Medicago truncatula: one gene and its partner. The protein of the gene in region 2 interacts with the protein of the main gene of each other region in a pairwise test. Links are inferred from orthologs where the notes say so. Each region holds a gene or a part of one and is shown on either strand. Other genes may lie near its edges.

What was found.
Region 1: the proteins of homeobox protein ATH1 (region 2) and homeobox protein SBH1 interact in binary tests that used the Arabidopsis thaliana proteins (3 or more experiments, as listed by UniProt). The link is inferred for Medicago truncatula from reciprocal best matches to the Arabidopsis thaliana genes ATH1 and STM.

The regions. Positions count from the first base shown.
Region 1 is NC_053043.1:8,828,572-8,836,373, forward strand, and holds the start of homeobox protein SBH1, read right to left. Parts: upstream 3,036-7,802; 5' UTR 2,225-3,035; coding exon 1,808-2,224; intron 1,524-1,807; coding exon 1,268-1,523; intron 1-1,267. UniProt on the Arabidopsis thaliana protein: Required for shoot apical meristem (SAM) formation during embryogenesis. Negatively regulates ASYMMETRIC LEAVES1 (AS1) and ASYMMETRIC LEAVES2 (AS2 or LBD6). Probably binds to the DNA sequence 5'-TGAC-3'. Binds to RNA.
Region 2 is NC_053042.1:4,466,527-4,473,762, reverse strand, and holds the start of homeobox protein ATH1, read right to left. Parts: upstream 3,028-7,236; 5' UTR 2,890-3,027; exon of another isoform or gene 2,680-2,889; intron 2,353-2,679; 5' UTR 2,236-2,352; exon of another isoform or gene 2,208-2,235; intron 2,077-2,207; 5' UTR 2,056-2,076; coding exon 1,063-2,055; intron 464-1,062; coding exon 108-463; intron 1-107. UniProt on the Arabidopsis thaliana protein: Transcription factor which may be involved in the signal transduction pathway downstream of the COP1 gene. Controls floral competency as a specific activator of FLC expression. Is responsive of the nuclear import of SHOOT MERISTEMLESS (STM).

The DNA of each region.
Region 1 (7,802 bases), on a different chromosome or scaffold from region 2:
TAGGACAATGTATATCCATTTTTAGTTAAAGACAAGTAACCAAGTTTTTTATCAAATATAATATCAAAAAACAAACATAATTTTAACAAGCATTATAATATGCATCTATACCTGCAGACACAAAAATATACATAATGATGACAACACATATAATCACACTAGCTATATGAAATAATACAAATTAATAAAATATTCCATCTATAGGGAGTAGTGTTTACACGGAACCTTGATGAGACAAATGAGAAAAAGAAGCAAGAGAACAAATCAATCAAATTCATCATTATTCTTAAGGACCTACTAACACATCATAGCTTAATCTCTTTTTTAGGTCATTAATCAAATCCAATCAACTTTGCAAGATTTTTTTCCATGTTAATTGATCCATATCATAAATCTAAAATCCACTTTGCACTTGTCCCCAGGAAAGTACTTCAGCTCTTTGGAGCTACTCTACTATCTGCATTTTGCACTCCAATTAGGAAAGAAACTTGTGAGTATATACCTCGCAATTACCACTTCTGGGAACAAGTGCAGAAGAAACCCTAATTCATTGGTTATTATTTACAAAACCTAAATTCACCCACCAATCTTCCTGTTCCGAAGTCCTCCAATTTTTGGATTCATTACAAAGTAGATTCTTTAATAATGTTAATATATTAAGAACACTACAAAAGCCAGTGAAATCTGAGAGTTTCTGTGACCTCATCAAAAGGGAAATTTTAAGAAAAAGCTATATGTGTGATGATGCAAGTCTTATAGTTCCCATAAAAACAATACTATCAAGCACACACACAAGAAAAGACGAATTTAACAAGATACCTATATAGTTAAGTTCCTTCAATGCACCAACACCAATGAAATATATATGTACTACTATACATCACCATCTACCTTTATTTTTAGACAAAAAACGCATGAGTTAAGGGCACCTTTGGTAGCAAGTATTAGGAACTCACTTATTTAGGCAAAGAAGATTAAAAAGAGTACAAGCTAGCAATATAAAATACTATTGAAAAAGACTAATTAAGAATTTTTTTTATAAGAAAAGCTAGAAAAAAAAAAGTAGATCTTGTCATAAACTTCAATTTAATTAATTAATTAATAATAATCAAACACTTTTACATACTAACAAAATTAACAAACTCTTCCAAACACAGGCATGCATGGATGCATATGTAAACAACAACAAATATCAAGCAATCAAGATTATGATTTAAAATCTGAATAGTATTTTCTGGAGAGAGAGAGAGAGAGAGGTTATTATCACCAATATTATCTGAAGATGAAGAAACTGTAAGATTTTTGAACTGGACTTCAATCCTTTGAAGAAAAAGCATAGCTTCCTTTAAGGGTTTGGAAAGTTCTTGCTCATACTTGATAAGCATCTCACAGTAAGCTTCCATGAACTGATCTAGAGCTGGATCTTCACCTAAACAACCTGATCCAACTGCATCTCCACCCATTCTCACTGCAGTTGCACATGCTTCTTCTAACCTTGCCACCACTTCACTTGGTGCTCCAACCTAAAAACACAATAATTTTCATGAAGTAAAAAATTTATGAAAAAAATAGTCATGAGATGAAGTGTCTTTATCACATATGCTTAAAAGGGTTTTGACTTACAATAATATACATGATAGTTTGTCAATATTAGTAATAAATGGAAATGAAAACAAAAGGCCACAGTTTCAAAGTACAATTATACAACACAGCTCATCAGATCCAAACTTGTCAAACAAAAAAAGTACAAAGAAATTAATTACACACACATCGTTTTCAAAATAATTATCTTCTTTTTTTTTCTGACCTTTTGACAGTTGATGTAGGCTTCCAAGAGACGGTGATAGTGAGGATGAGCCATGATCTTGGATTTGACAGAAGAAGAAGAGGAAGAAGAGCTTCCATGGTTGTTGATGTTGTCCATGAAATAGTAACCTAAACCAGGAGTGTTTTGATGGTTATTTTGAAGCATGATAGAAGAGGTGTTGTTATTACAGTTGGTGTAGTGATTGTTATTATTGTTAGTGGAATTAGGGATAGGAAGGAAAAGACCGGTTGTGTTGTTTGCATTAGTATTGTTGTTATTGGAATTTATTGGATGATGAGCATTATGATGAGATGAAGTGACTAAAGGCATCATCATCATTGGAGGACATAGCCCACCACTGTTTTCTCCAAAAGCACCCATCACATAAGAACAACTTCCATTAGAACTACCCTCCATTGAATTAATACTCACTCACTCACTCACTTAGCCACAATAACACTTCCTTTTTATTACCCTTTTTGCCTTCTAGGTCAGATTTTTCTTTCTCTCACTTGAATGATATTAATATTGAAGATGTTTTTGTTTCACACAAGGGTCACCCGCCCGGGTTTTATGGTAAAAAAGTAACAGGCTTTTTTACAGAAAAACATAAATAGTGATAGTGTTTTGTGGTGGCTATGTTGTATAGTTACAGTCAGTTACATGAAGAAGTAGTGAAGAGGTTTTTTGGATTCTACTACTGGCAAAAGCCTGCACAGATTTCCTTTGGAAAATGAGTGTTAATCTCTCTTTCCACACATTTTCAGCATTTAATGAAGAAATGAATCTCTCTTTGTCTCTCTAGCTAGTGGATAATACAAGGTTTTTTATGAAGGAGTGAGAAAGCAGTAGAGTGCACGCGGGATATGTAGAGAGAGAGATGAAGGTTGAGTTACAGAAGAAGGGTTAGTGTGAAGCATTGGTGCCAAAAAAAGGTTTTACCTTCCCAATGAAAACTCTACCTTCCTTTTTCTGCACTGCCACTGATACCCCTGCCATACAAAAGCAGTGGAGTGAGAGACAAGAGAACAAGCAAGTTTTTTTTTCTTTTCTTTTCTTTTGTTTTGGAGAGAGGTAGTAATAAATAGTGAGCTAGGAACGATCAAATCGAGGAGGAGAAAACAAGTTACCTACTACTACTATGCTGATGATGATGAATATATTGGGGAAGATAGGTTCATTTCATAGGGCACGGAATCAATCCTTCTCTCTATCTCCCTCACCTCACTCACTCTATTCTTTTTTCTTAGATCAATTCTTATTTTATTAGTATTTATTATACAAGTACAATTTAATCTTTTATAATCACAAGCAAAATATTAACAAATGCCTCCGAGGTACTCTTTAATACCTTTAAATGATAATTTTTTATAAAAATATGTATAATCAATGTATTAGAAATCAAAATATTTAACTTTTATGTAAAATAATTTTTTTCTTTTAAAATCCTTCATGAGTGCCCCGACAGCACTCTTTAACAAAACCTAATTACAAAGACCAAATGAAAGGTTATACAATTTTTATTGTACTATATACCATATTGGTTTTCTTAATCACGGCCCCAAACACTAGTTACCATTTCTCATTGTATAATAAAATCAAAATGGAAACAATCATTTTTAGATACTTAGAATAATTTTATATGTCTGCATCACTCATTTATAATTTTTTAATAATAATATCTAATAAGCAGTCAATCCCTCCAGCTAAACACGGAACACATTAATTATCTACCAATGACTCTATATCATTGCATTTCAAAAATAAAATATTAAAAATAAAAAAATCATCTCACTAAAAATTTAACATCTACATTGAGACTTTGTTCCTATTAATTCAATAACTTTTACTCGATGAAATTACTTAATAAATATCTGGTCTTAAAAAGGAGAGAGATCCCTTGTTGGAGATGGCCTAAATGTTAAACGCACCTAAAGAAAAAAAAATAAGGATTTTGTTCAATTAATATATATATATATATATATATATATATATATATATATATATATATATATATATATATATATATAAGTTTTGCTAGAAGCCACTCATTAAGATGTCCTTTTGCAACCCAACGCACATGTTAAAAACTCAACGAGAGTAACTTTAATTTATATTAAAAAATATAATATTTTGACTTTTAAAAAGATGAATATACAACTTTAAAAATGTATGTTTCGATTCTTAAAAAAATGTATATATTTATAATAAGTTCTTTAACATGCGCCTTAAGGGCATAAGTTAATTAACCAACTTGGATTGGCTTGGAGTAAAGGTGGCAAAACAAACCTAATTATCGGGCCGGCTCATTTAGCTTGCTTTTTTTGGAGAGCTAAGCTGGAGTTTTGAACTCACCACTTCTAATAGGCTCGTCTTGCTTAATTCGTTGAAAAAATGGGATGGGATGGGATAGGGACGGGGCGGGCCAACCCACCAACTCGTCAACTTGAAATTTTTTAATTTTTTATTTTATCGACGAGTTAGACATAATTTAAAATGAAGTGACCAAATAACTCATTATAATCCAATTTTGTCTCGTAAGCTTGTGTTTTAGCACAAATTGATTTGCTCCCAATTTTATTTTATAAATAACCACAACATATTTTTTCATAACAATAAAACTGTTAAAAATTGCATTAAAAATCACGTTTTTTCTTTGACGGCCCGTCAACCCGCCATAAAGCGGGGGATGAAATTTTGAACTCGGCCACCTAAATTGATTCAACCCGTTTCTTCCTGCTTTTTGCGGGTTTAAGTTGGTTGGTCCGCTTTGCCATCACTAGATCCCTAGTCTAGTGATGTTGAGTTAGGATTTTGAAGTGTGCTCATGCTCGAGGTCTCAGATTCGATTATCTCCAATATTAATTTAGATGGATTAATTTAACTTAAAAAAGGCACAAGTTGACATTTGTGTAACTATAAAATATATTGAATTTTTGTCAAAAAAAAAAAATATTGATTGACAATGATACAAGTAATATTAGAGATACGATTGGAAAAAATATTAATGCTATGTTGAAAATTGAAAAGATCAATTATTTCGTGACAAATTTTTGTTTTAGAAAGGTTAATTACTTTAGAACGAGTACATTTAATTTTATGAAAATACAACACTAGTCGTCATTATACTCACTCTCTTTGTTTTCTTCTTGCTCGAGATTAAAAATTAACTCATTTTAGTATACAAGAAACTATAAGATATATAGTTTGTTTCTTTTGAACAATAGTAATTAATGATTAAATCACATTTTTGTCTTGAAAATGTAATTGTTATTTTGAACACTAAATTTATGAAACATAAAATTATTCCCCTAAATTGTCTTACGTCAATCAAAATGTTTCTTTGTTAATTAATTTTATTAGATGTGTTGATGTGTTAATTTAAGTGATATCGTGATTTGTTTAAATCGATGTCACCCCACACATAATATCATAACTACAAGTTTTTGAGACACAACATTATATGGTGGCATAATCAATACAGACTAATGGATTATTCCATCACGAATGGAAATGTAAAAAAATATGTGGTTCTTGAGATTTCAACCACCACCAAACGTATATTTGGTTGCGTTGTGGAAAAAATTGATTTTGATATAATCAATTTTGTAGAATTGATTTTAATTAAAAGTAATTTTTTTTAAAAATGTAATTTATGTTTGGATACGTTCATGTAAAAGTGAGTTGAATTATAAATTTGTATATTAAAATCAATTATAGATTCAAAAGTTACAAATCATATCTCAAATATAATCAATTATGGAGACATGGTCAATTATAATCAACAACAACCAAACATATCAGAATCAATTCTATACCTCCAAAATCAATTATAACCCTCTAAAAATAGAACAAAAAATACACCAAGAGAAAAGTTTAATACGATCTTGTAACATCTAAATTCAACTCTTTGTTACAGCAAACCTACGAGTTACACTTCTTCCAATAAAACATCCAACAAAATCACATACAAGCAATGATGAGTATATCCTTCGTAAACAAATACTACAACTAAACAAACCACCAAATTGAAAAACATGCAAGCAAACATCAGCCGATTGAACAGAAAAAATCTCCAACTATCAGAAAGCCAAGGGCTACCAAAGATGATTAACTTTCTACTTTAATTTTGTGAATTATTAATTAACTCAACAAAGTTTTATCTTTTACTAAATTGAACCCAATATGACGTTGCTATGTTAGCTAGCATGCATATAATCAGTAGTAATTCGAGATAATTTACTGCAGAAAAAGCTAGTGCTGTAGCTAAGTTAATAAAGCTGTAAAGTATGTGGGACAGTCCGAATGTCTCTTCCTCTTTTTTTCTTTGATGACTTGCTAATCTATTTGTAGCACTAGCACCATAGATATCTATATATCCTTCCTCATCGTCCACAATAAAGGCATAGACTTAGCATCACTTCCCGTAAAAATACCGTATAAAAGCAGCTCCATCAGGTTACGTACTTATTGTCGCATCCCATTGTCCCCCCTCCCATCCGGTTTATACTCTTCATTTTTTTTGTTCTCTTTCGTACAGCATTGAAAATTTGAGTTGCTGTCAATTTTAGAATAATAATAATTCAGATTTTTAGAAGGGTTAATTAATTGTTTTTCCCTACAAAATAAAATCATACTTTTTAATCGCTATAAAATTCTCCATCAGCATTTTTAGTCCCTATAAGAACTTTTCATCATTATTTTTAGTCCCTGTAAAAAAATTTCATCAACATTTTGTTCCTAAAAATAAAACTGTGAATATTTACAAGGACTAAAAACTTAATTAACCATTTTTATAATATGTAAATTGTTCCTGTAAGTTGGCGTGTTTTTTGTTTCTGTTTTTGTAACTTTTTGATTCTAAAAATACCCGGTAAGTTTCAAATGTTTTGTTTTTGGTCTTGTCGTCATCATAAGTTACAAAAACGTTGATATATCAAACGGCGACCGATGTGACGATGCGTGACATGGCAAGTGAGGCTTATGTGTCACAATTGACAAGTTTAGAGGGACTAAATCCAAAAATGAAAATTTCCAGGGGACGAAATTCAAAAACACGAATTAACAAATTTCAAATTAAAAATCTTGCTTTTCTTTCTTCATCTTCTTCCTTCTTCTTCTTCATCATCTTCAACCTCACCATCATCAACATTCATCAATCTTCATCATGCCCATTAACATAAATTAAACATTCAAACTCTTTAATCAAAATCTCATTTTCATTTCCATCAAAATCTTCTTCTTCGCCGGATCCAATACATACTCAATTCCAAATCTAAATCATACTCAAACCCTAAAATCTCCGGATCTACCCCAAAATCGCATCCCTTTAGTGTAGTAAAACCTTTATGGATCCTTGTGTTGGTTCTTATTCTATTTCCTTCTATCGATTCATCATCACCCAAAATCATCAAACAATAACAACACATAACTTGAATTAAATTCTGCAGAAACCTTCAAAATTTCAAATTAAACCACACAACAACAACCCATTAAACCACACACCGATTACATTTTTTTTCTTTCCAGCAACACAATCCCACAACAAATTAGCGACTAAAAAATCATTAGAGCAATTTTTTGAGACACGGTTTTTTAAAAGATGCTAATTTGAAACATTGCAAAGTTTTTCCAGCCACAACAAACTCTATCATAGTAGCAGTTTTGATTGTTCTGGGCTTGTGTTCTAATTCACATTGACGAAATTAAAATTGCACTTAGAATGAGAAGATTTGAGTTTTGGGTTTCTTCTCAACATCCTTCATATTTTTCTTGATTGAGGTTTTTTCCCCTTTGTTTTATTATGTTATGTCCCTGGATATGGAATTGAAAGAAGGGGGAGAATTGAGAATTAAGAAAAAGTGTGTTCAAATAAGAAGAGTTTAAACAAGAGGAAATGGAAAATGAGATTTTGATTGAAGAGTTTGAATGTTGAATTTATGTTTTCTCGGTATGATGAAGATTGATGAATTCGTAATGTAGGTGAGGATGAAGA
Region 2 (7,236 bases):
AGTTGCAGTTGCGTCACAATCATTGATATTGTAGCAAAATGCAGCTGATGCAGCCGAAATTGGGGATGCAATGTGGCAGCATATGTTTGATTATAGATAATACTTACGGATGGAGGAAATTCTGAAACATCCAATCACGTAGAACGGAAACAGATCTTTCTGGCAAGCCCCTTTGGGGCCTCCATAACTGATCTTTCCTTTTCAACTGTTGAAGAGCCCATTGCTTTTGAATGAATGAAGTTTCAACAGATAATTCCTTATCCTCTTCTGACCATGAACTGTTAAAATTTGATCCCATGGAAAGAATATGTTTGCTAATCCTCTCTCTCAAGTCCTTATATAGTCGAGAAACCGTTTTGACAGCAAAGTGCGCGTGTATTTGTGGATCGAGCTCAGTAGCAGCATGAAATGCAGATACGACAGTGTGAATCTCATCCAAACATTGACTATATTGACTGTCCACCTGAGTAAAATAAAGACTACTATCAGCATTCTCGAACAAAACTTTCATATAGAGAAATAATTTTTGATAATCAAAATTTCTTTTGACCCTTGTGTGTAACTTTGGAATGTAGGTATTTTGATGTTCAAATAACAACTGTTCATAGAGTACCATTCAACATCACACAATTTGCTTTTCAAAGTTTTGTCCTGAACTAGTATAACAACTTTTAACCATCGATAAATTTTATTTGGAAAAGTGAACAATTTTGCATCTAGGTTTGCTTCTACAATTACAAAAATTAATTTTGATTTTCTGCCTAAGAGGGTGTTGCATGTAATTTGATTTTATGTTTCGATAGATTCTCATGTAAAAGTTGATTGAGCAATAAATTCAAGGCTAAAAATCAATTGTAGAGGCAAAAGCTCAAAATTCTAGCTCTAAGTACCAACTCTACTAGAAAACATCCAAAGATGTCAAAATCCGTTCTACACATCAGAAATCAATTTTTTCCATGTTCAAGAGTGAAACCAGCAGACATATACTAACGCAATCAGGACCATAAACGGTTTTACGAAAACCAAATGAATGTAATGTAATCTAAGTGGTTAGCAATGTACCATCTGTAGAAGCATCAAGAGTTGAGATTGCTTTGATTCAACAGCATGCCTTTGCAATGAAGAATCAGCATAAGCTTCTGACATAGGACTCTCGTCGCGATTTATTCCTATCCTTCGCTTGGTTGTGTTTGACGAAGTTGATTTATTTCCTCGGCCTCTAACACCAGAACCGGAATAGTTTATCTCATCAAGATTTTCAAATGAAAATGTTGCAATTTGAACAAGTATTTCCTGAATTACAGCAAGGTATCTTGATCCTAATATTGCGGGCGAAAACTTGACATGTTTATCATTCCCTAAACTCATAGAAAGTTCCATACTACTACATGAGGCTTGTTCCAAACCTGATCTTGTTCCATTCATGCTATGAGTTAAGTCAGAACAACTAATCTCTGAGCATTGAACTGAAGTTGGAGATGTTGCAAGACTTAGTGAAAGCTCATTGCTACAATTCGAGGAACTATAAGCGAGATTCGTTAAGTTAGCAACATTTGATGATTGCCATCCATTTGGATCAATGTTCCCTATCGGCGAATATGACATGAATTCGGTTCCAACATTACTCTCTTGAGCTTTCAAAAACTTGTTAACATAGCTATTATTATCACCAAAAGTTGCACACAAAGGGTTTGAGTTTGAAGTATCATGCCAATTATTGAATATGTATGGAACTATTGCTTCTAAATTTTCTTGAAGACCGATTCTAGCCGGAACCGAAAAGTCATTGTTATTAACAATGAGATTTGAGGGATTTTCCACAATAGTCCTTCCTTGTTGTGATGTAACAAATGAATTATCAGCTATGGTAACTTGATTCATGAAACTACCATCAACATGTTGATCTTGTTCTCCACCAGAAAGTATTGGAATTCCATTTATGATGTTGTTTTGGTTGTTAAGGTCAAATGAATAGTAATGAATGAGTGGCTTTTGTGTTAGATGTTGTGTGATATCTTCCATGTTCATTTGAGCAGTGTACACATCATTCTCCATTTAGAAAACAATTAGAAAATGCTACAAAGAAGAAAATAAAATAGACTTAGAAAAATGATTTTTGACTACTTACTTATTTGATAACAAGAACAATTTTAAGATAAGGCTACAGTTAAAAAAAAATGTTTGTAAGCAAAAACAAATGAACCAACCTTGTCTTAATAAGCATAGGAACCTTACATAAATCAAACAGAGCCACCATATGAAACTTTACATATATCTGTCAAAATCTTCAAAAATTCAAACATTTTTGACAACTTCTTTGCAGGATTTGTAGTTGCCTTGTCCTATGAGAACCTAGAAAACAACAAAGAAACATGAAAAACAAAAAGATAAGCAATGTGATTAGAGTATCATTAAATTTGGTCTTAAAAGTTTAACAATGTAAAGAACAAAACCAGAAATATGCTGAAAAGGGTGAATATCAAAAGCATGCATTGGTCCAATATGCATGAACATTAACAATATTTTTAATTCAAGTATCCCAAACTCCAAAAGCACATTTTTTAATTTTCACAGATCCCATCAAGATTTATTGCATAGTGCATACCATTCATTTCTCTAATCCAATACACACAAAAAAGCTCAAAAAACTTTACATTATACCATATAAAAAAAAATCACCTCAAGAATAACAAAAGCATTGAAGAGTGCAAACTGCAAACTATAGTGTAGAAAAAATGTAAAAAAAAACCTAGAGAGAGAGAGAGAGGGGGGGGGGGCTAGTTTATGCACCTATGTATGTAAATGCAAAGATAGAGATGAATGAGATAGAAGAAGGTAGAAAAACCACAAAGAAATAAAACAAGGAAAGAGAGAGAGAGGCATTGATACAGTGTATAGTGTTTGGTGCAGTGCCACTCATTTCTGTTTCAGGCTTTAGAGGGCCCATCTTTTCACTCTCTCTCTGATCATTTATCTGAATCACTGCTATATTTCACTCTCTCTCTGTTCATAGCATAGCAGGTGCATACAGAAAGAAACATTTTAGCTTTTTTAGCAAAATTTAAAACAAGTTGGTAACTTGAGTAGAAACAAGAGTTACATGATACTGTGATAAGGTAAAGAAAATGTTGCAAATAAAGTGCAAAAACAAAACATTAGGCAAATGTATGGCGTGTGATGTGAAGATTTTGACACTGTTATGTTGTGTTGTGTCATCATGGCCTATAGTAACGTATAGGGTTCTATGTAATGAAATATTGAAGTATAGGTGTGTACTTTTTTTGTTGCTTTTGGGGGGTAGTAATAGTAAGAAGAGGGTGATTAAAGTGTGTGATGTAAGGGATATATAAAATGACGCAATTTTATATATGAATGGTCATCTCATCATCTCCATAGTTCTGCAATTTTAATGCAGCAAATCATGTGTTCAGTATTTATTCGGCGGGAGGGAACAATGCACTTTCATTTCATATCAACACATACTACTTCAGAGTTTCATATTTTTATTACTCAAAAAAAAGTTTCATGTTTTATTTAACAAATGTCATAAGATTTTTAAATTTAATGTTTGTATAGGTTAATCATTTTAGTTTTCCTAATTTCAAATTAGTTATTTATGATCATAAAAATATGTACATAATGTTTTAAGTCATAAAACATATGCATCGTTAACCTATTTCTATCAAATTCATTTTAAAAATATTTATATGAATGTTTGTTGCTATGTTGATAGATCCAAAGTTACCTCTCTCAAAACTAAAGTTATTCGATCTTAGTTTAAAATAAAATTAATCAATTATTTGATTTATAATTTTGTTAATGAAATATTTATCAATAAAATTAAGATTGAATTGGGAAACCCTAACCCTTTTTTTTTTTTTGTCAAAGGAAACCCTAATTTTTTAAGATATAAATCACAATACTTATTATTATTAAAAACGGGCGTCGTAACGTGCTGCATGCTGGTTTCAACAAAATATAAAAACGGGTAGTTACATTTTTTTTACTAAAATGGGTAGTTTTTATTATTAAAAAATAATAAAACTAAATTAATAGGGTTAAAATTGAAAGAGATTAATAAAAGCTATAAGCTTAAAAACTACCTAAAATATAATCTCACAAAAAGTTATAAGCTCATGAGAAAAACTTATTACCAAATACGTTATGTTTTGATCCAACAAACTCAAAACTAATCCAATAAGCTATAAATGTAAGCGGTTTGGACAAAACCGACGAAACCAAAAGTTTAAATCAGACCAAATCGAAAAAGTATTCGACATTGTCTGGTTCGGTTCAAAACCGAACCGGACTAATCTAAACATATCTTGTTTGGTTCGATTCTCATTTTTTCATTTTGAGATCCAAGAAACTGATAAACCAAACCGATGTTAACTCCACTTCCCATTTTACTAATATTATTCCTCACACACACACACACACACACACACAAACATAATTAGACCCAAAATTAAAAGTCCAACATAAAATACTCCTTGATCAATTCACTTTCTCCCATCTTCACTTTATTAATGACATTATCAAGTCCTCCTTTTATTCGACAATGTCATAATCCATTCACTTATGATTTGGAATTTTTGTGAGTTGATGAATGATGTATGTGTGGATCATGGATGATTGAAATATTTGATTTTGATGAATGATGGATGAATGGATTTTGGATATATGAAATATTTATTTTGAAGTCGTGGATGCATGAAATATTGAGTAAGGTTAATTATAAATAGATGTTTGAAAAATAGAGAACATGAAAAAAACACAAAGTTCCGTAAAATATTTTAATATGATGTATGTTGTATGCATGAAATATAAGTTTGTGAGAATATGAAATTTTTTAATTGTATTTTCAAATAAACTGATCAACCGAACTGATCCAAACCGAATCAAACCGATTAGTTTGGTTCGGTTCCTTTTTAGAAAAGAGTACAAAGCGAACAAATAAAGATTTCATTGGTTTGGACATTTTTTTGATTGAAAACCGATCCAAATTGAACCATTACACTCCTTAAACAAGCTTCTCGTCCTTACCAAACACAACCTTAAAAGCAACCAAGGTGAGCTCATCGGCTTCAAACGTGATTTTAATTGATTGGAAAGTTGTTAACCACCCAGTTGCAAATGTTAATCTTGGCAGCAGCGAACAATAATAATTTTATGAGGTGGTTACAATAATAATAATCACAATAGCTATTACTCATATAAAATATATTTCAAAAGACACACTTAAAGTAATAAGAACAGATTATAAAAGGTTATAATTTACTAGTTAGTTATTTTTTAGCTATAAAAAAAAGTGATGCGTTAATAAAGGGTTTGTTTTGACAATAACAAAGTGCCGTTAAATCAGTTCAGGCCAATAGCGATAGGTTTTTGTTTTGGGAGGAAGACATTGATGTTGTTGCTGCGGTCATATTTTCATTGTCAATCAAAGAATGTAGAACTTTTCTGTGTTCATCCTCTGGTTCCTAGCTTAATATAAAAATATACTTATTCTTTCAATAATTTTCTTCTTCTTCTTTGGGTTAGCCATAGCTACCCCTTTAGTAAGAAAGCAATCGCCCCTGAATCTTGGTATGTTCATCCGCTTCATTTTGGAATCAAAACTACTATTTGTACCTTTTCCCTCTAGTAAAAATCAATTTTACACACTCTATTTGTCACTTACAATATTTAAATTAGTCGTTGATAATTTGATTCATTACAATTTCTTCAAAAATAAAATAAAATTGATTCATTACAACATAGATGCTAATTTACTCGTGTATGAAAATTTCTATTCTTGTATTAAGCTAAAAAAAAGTCTGAGAAAGCATATATCAACCTTATAAAAAAATAAAAAGAAGTATAAATAAATTTGTGTTATGATAATCACCCTTAAAGTGTGTATTAATATTTATAAACAACAAAATTAACTCATCTTTTAAGTTAATCTTTTACATTTAGATACAACTTCAGTAAAATTTTGACTATTATTTCTCCAAAACTCTTTCACACATGTGCATATCATGAACAATATTTGCATGAGACCTCACCACCACTGGTTTGATGAATTACAAACACAATTTGAAGGTATGAAAATATCAATGATTAATTTGTATTATATTTTTTTGTGAATGATGGAAGCCCTTTAAGAATAATGATTTACTTTCTACTTGTTGTTTTGTGTGACAATTTTCTATACCATTGTATTTCGTTAAAAATGAAATCTATACCACTGTTCATACAGTGGAAAAGAAGATTTTATAGATAAACAATAAATGAAACCACATGATTTAGTCAAAAAAAAAAAAATGAAACCACATGTGTATGTATAAACATTTCATCATAATTTTGGTTACAGAACAGGTTCACTCCTTTTTCAGAAAGATTGAGGGAAATTATTGTTTTCCCTCTAAAGCAAACGTTTTCGGGTGTTTTGGTCAAGTTAACTGGTTGGATGATAATGAAGTCATGCTATGTAGAACAAGACAAGGAAAAGTATGGGCCCTTTAAAACATTTTAGAAGACACAGGGCACTAACTCTGAACATGTTTCAAACCCTATGCTCATAAACGACAAAGCCGTTTCTGTTTTGTGGACCTTAGCCTAAGTTTTAGTTGTAACCTATAACCTGTTTGGAACATCAATTAATAATTGTTGGTAAGTCTTAATCAAGCTTACACAAAATCTCAAAATATTTCTAGGGGTGCTAAGAGAAAACTCTTTCACATTTTGTAATACGGTCTCTCTTATTGATTAAAATGCATTAGAGTCACGTTTAATTTGGTGAAGCTTACATGTATTATAACTGGTAAAAATGAGTATGTTAAAAAATGTGTTGTTAATTTTTTTTTACTCGCACACAATCTCAAAATGCGAAAGAGCTTCTTGATGATTATGAGTTTTTATCAGTAACTTTTTTTTCCTCAATGGATATTTATCTTTTGAAGCTATTTTTCACATTCCGACATCAATCTAAGGTGGCATTTAGATGCACACTTTTAAATGCTCGTTTGGTTCCACTTTTTTGAGATATCAAAATTGATATTAGAAGTGTTGAATTGATTTTAACTTTTTAAAATATTGTGGTAGAAATGATTTTGTATCTAAAATTTGAATCATATTAAAAACTAGCTGGTTTTCAAATTTTGACTTTAAATGATTTTTACCTTCATAGTAGCATCATTTACCTCTATTTAGTCTAATTGCATGATGATCCTTTGCTTTTGTCGACTAAAA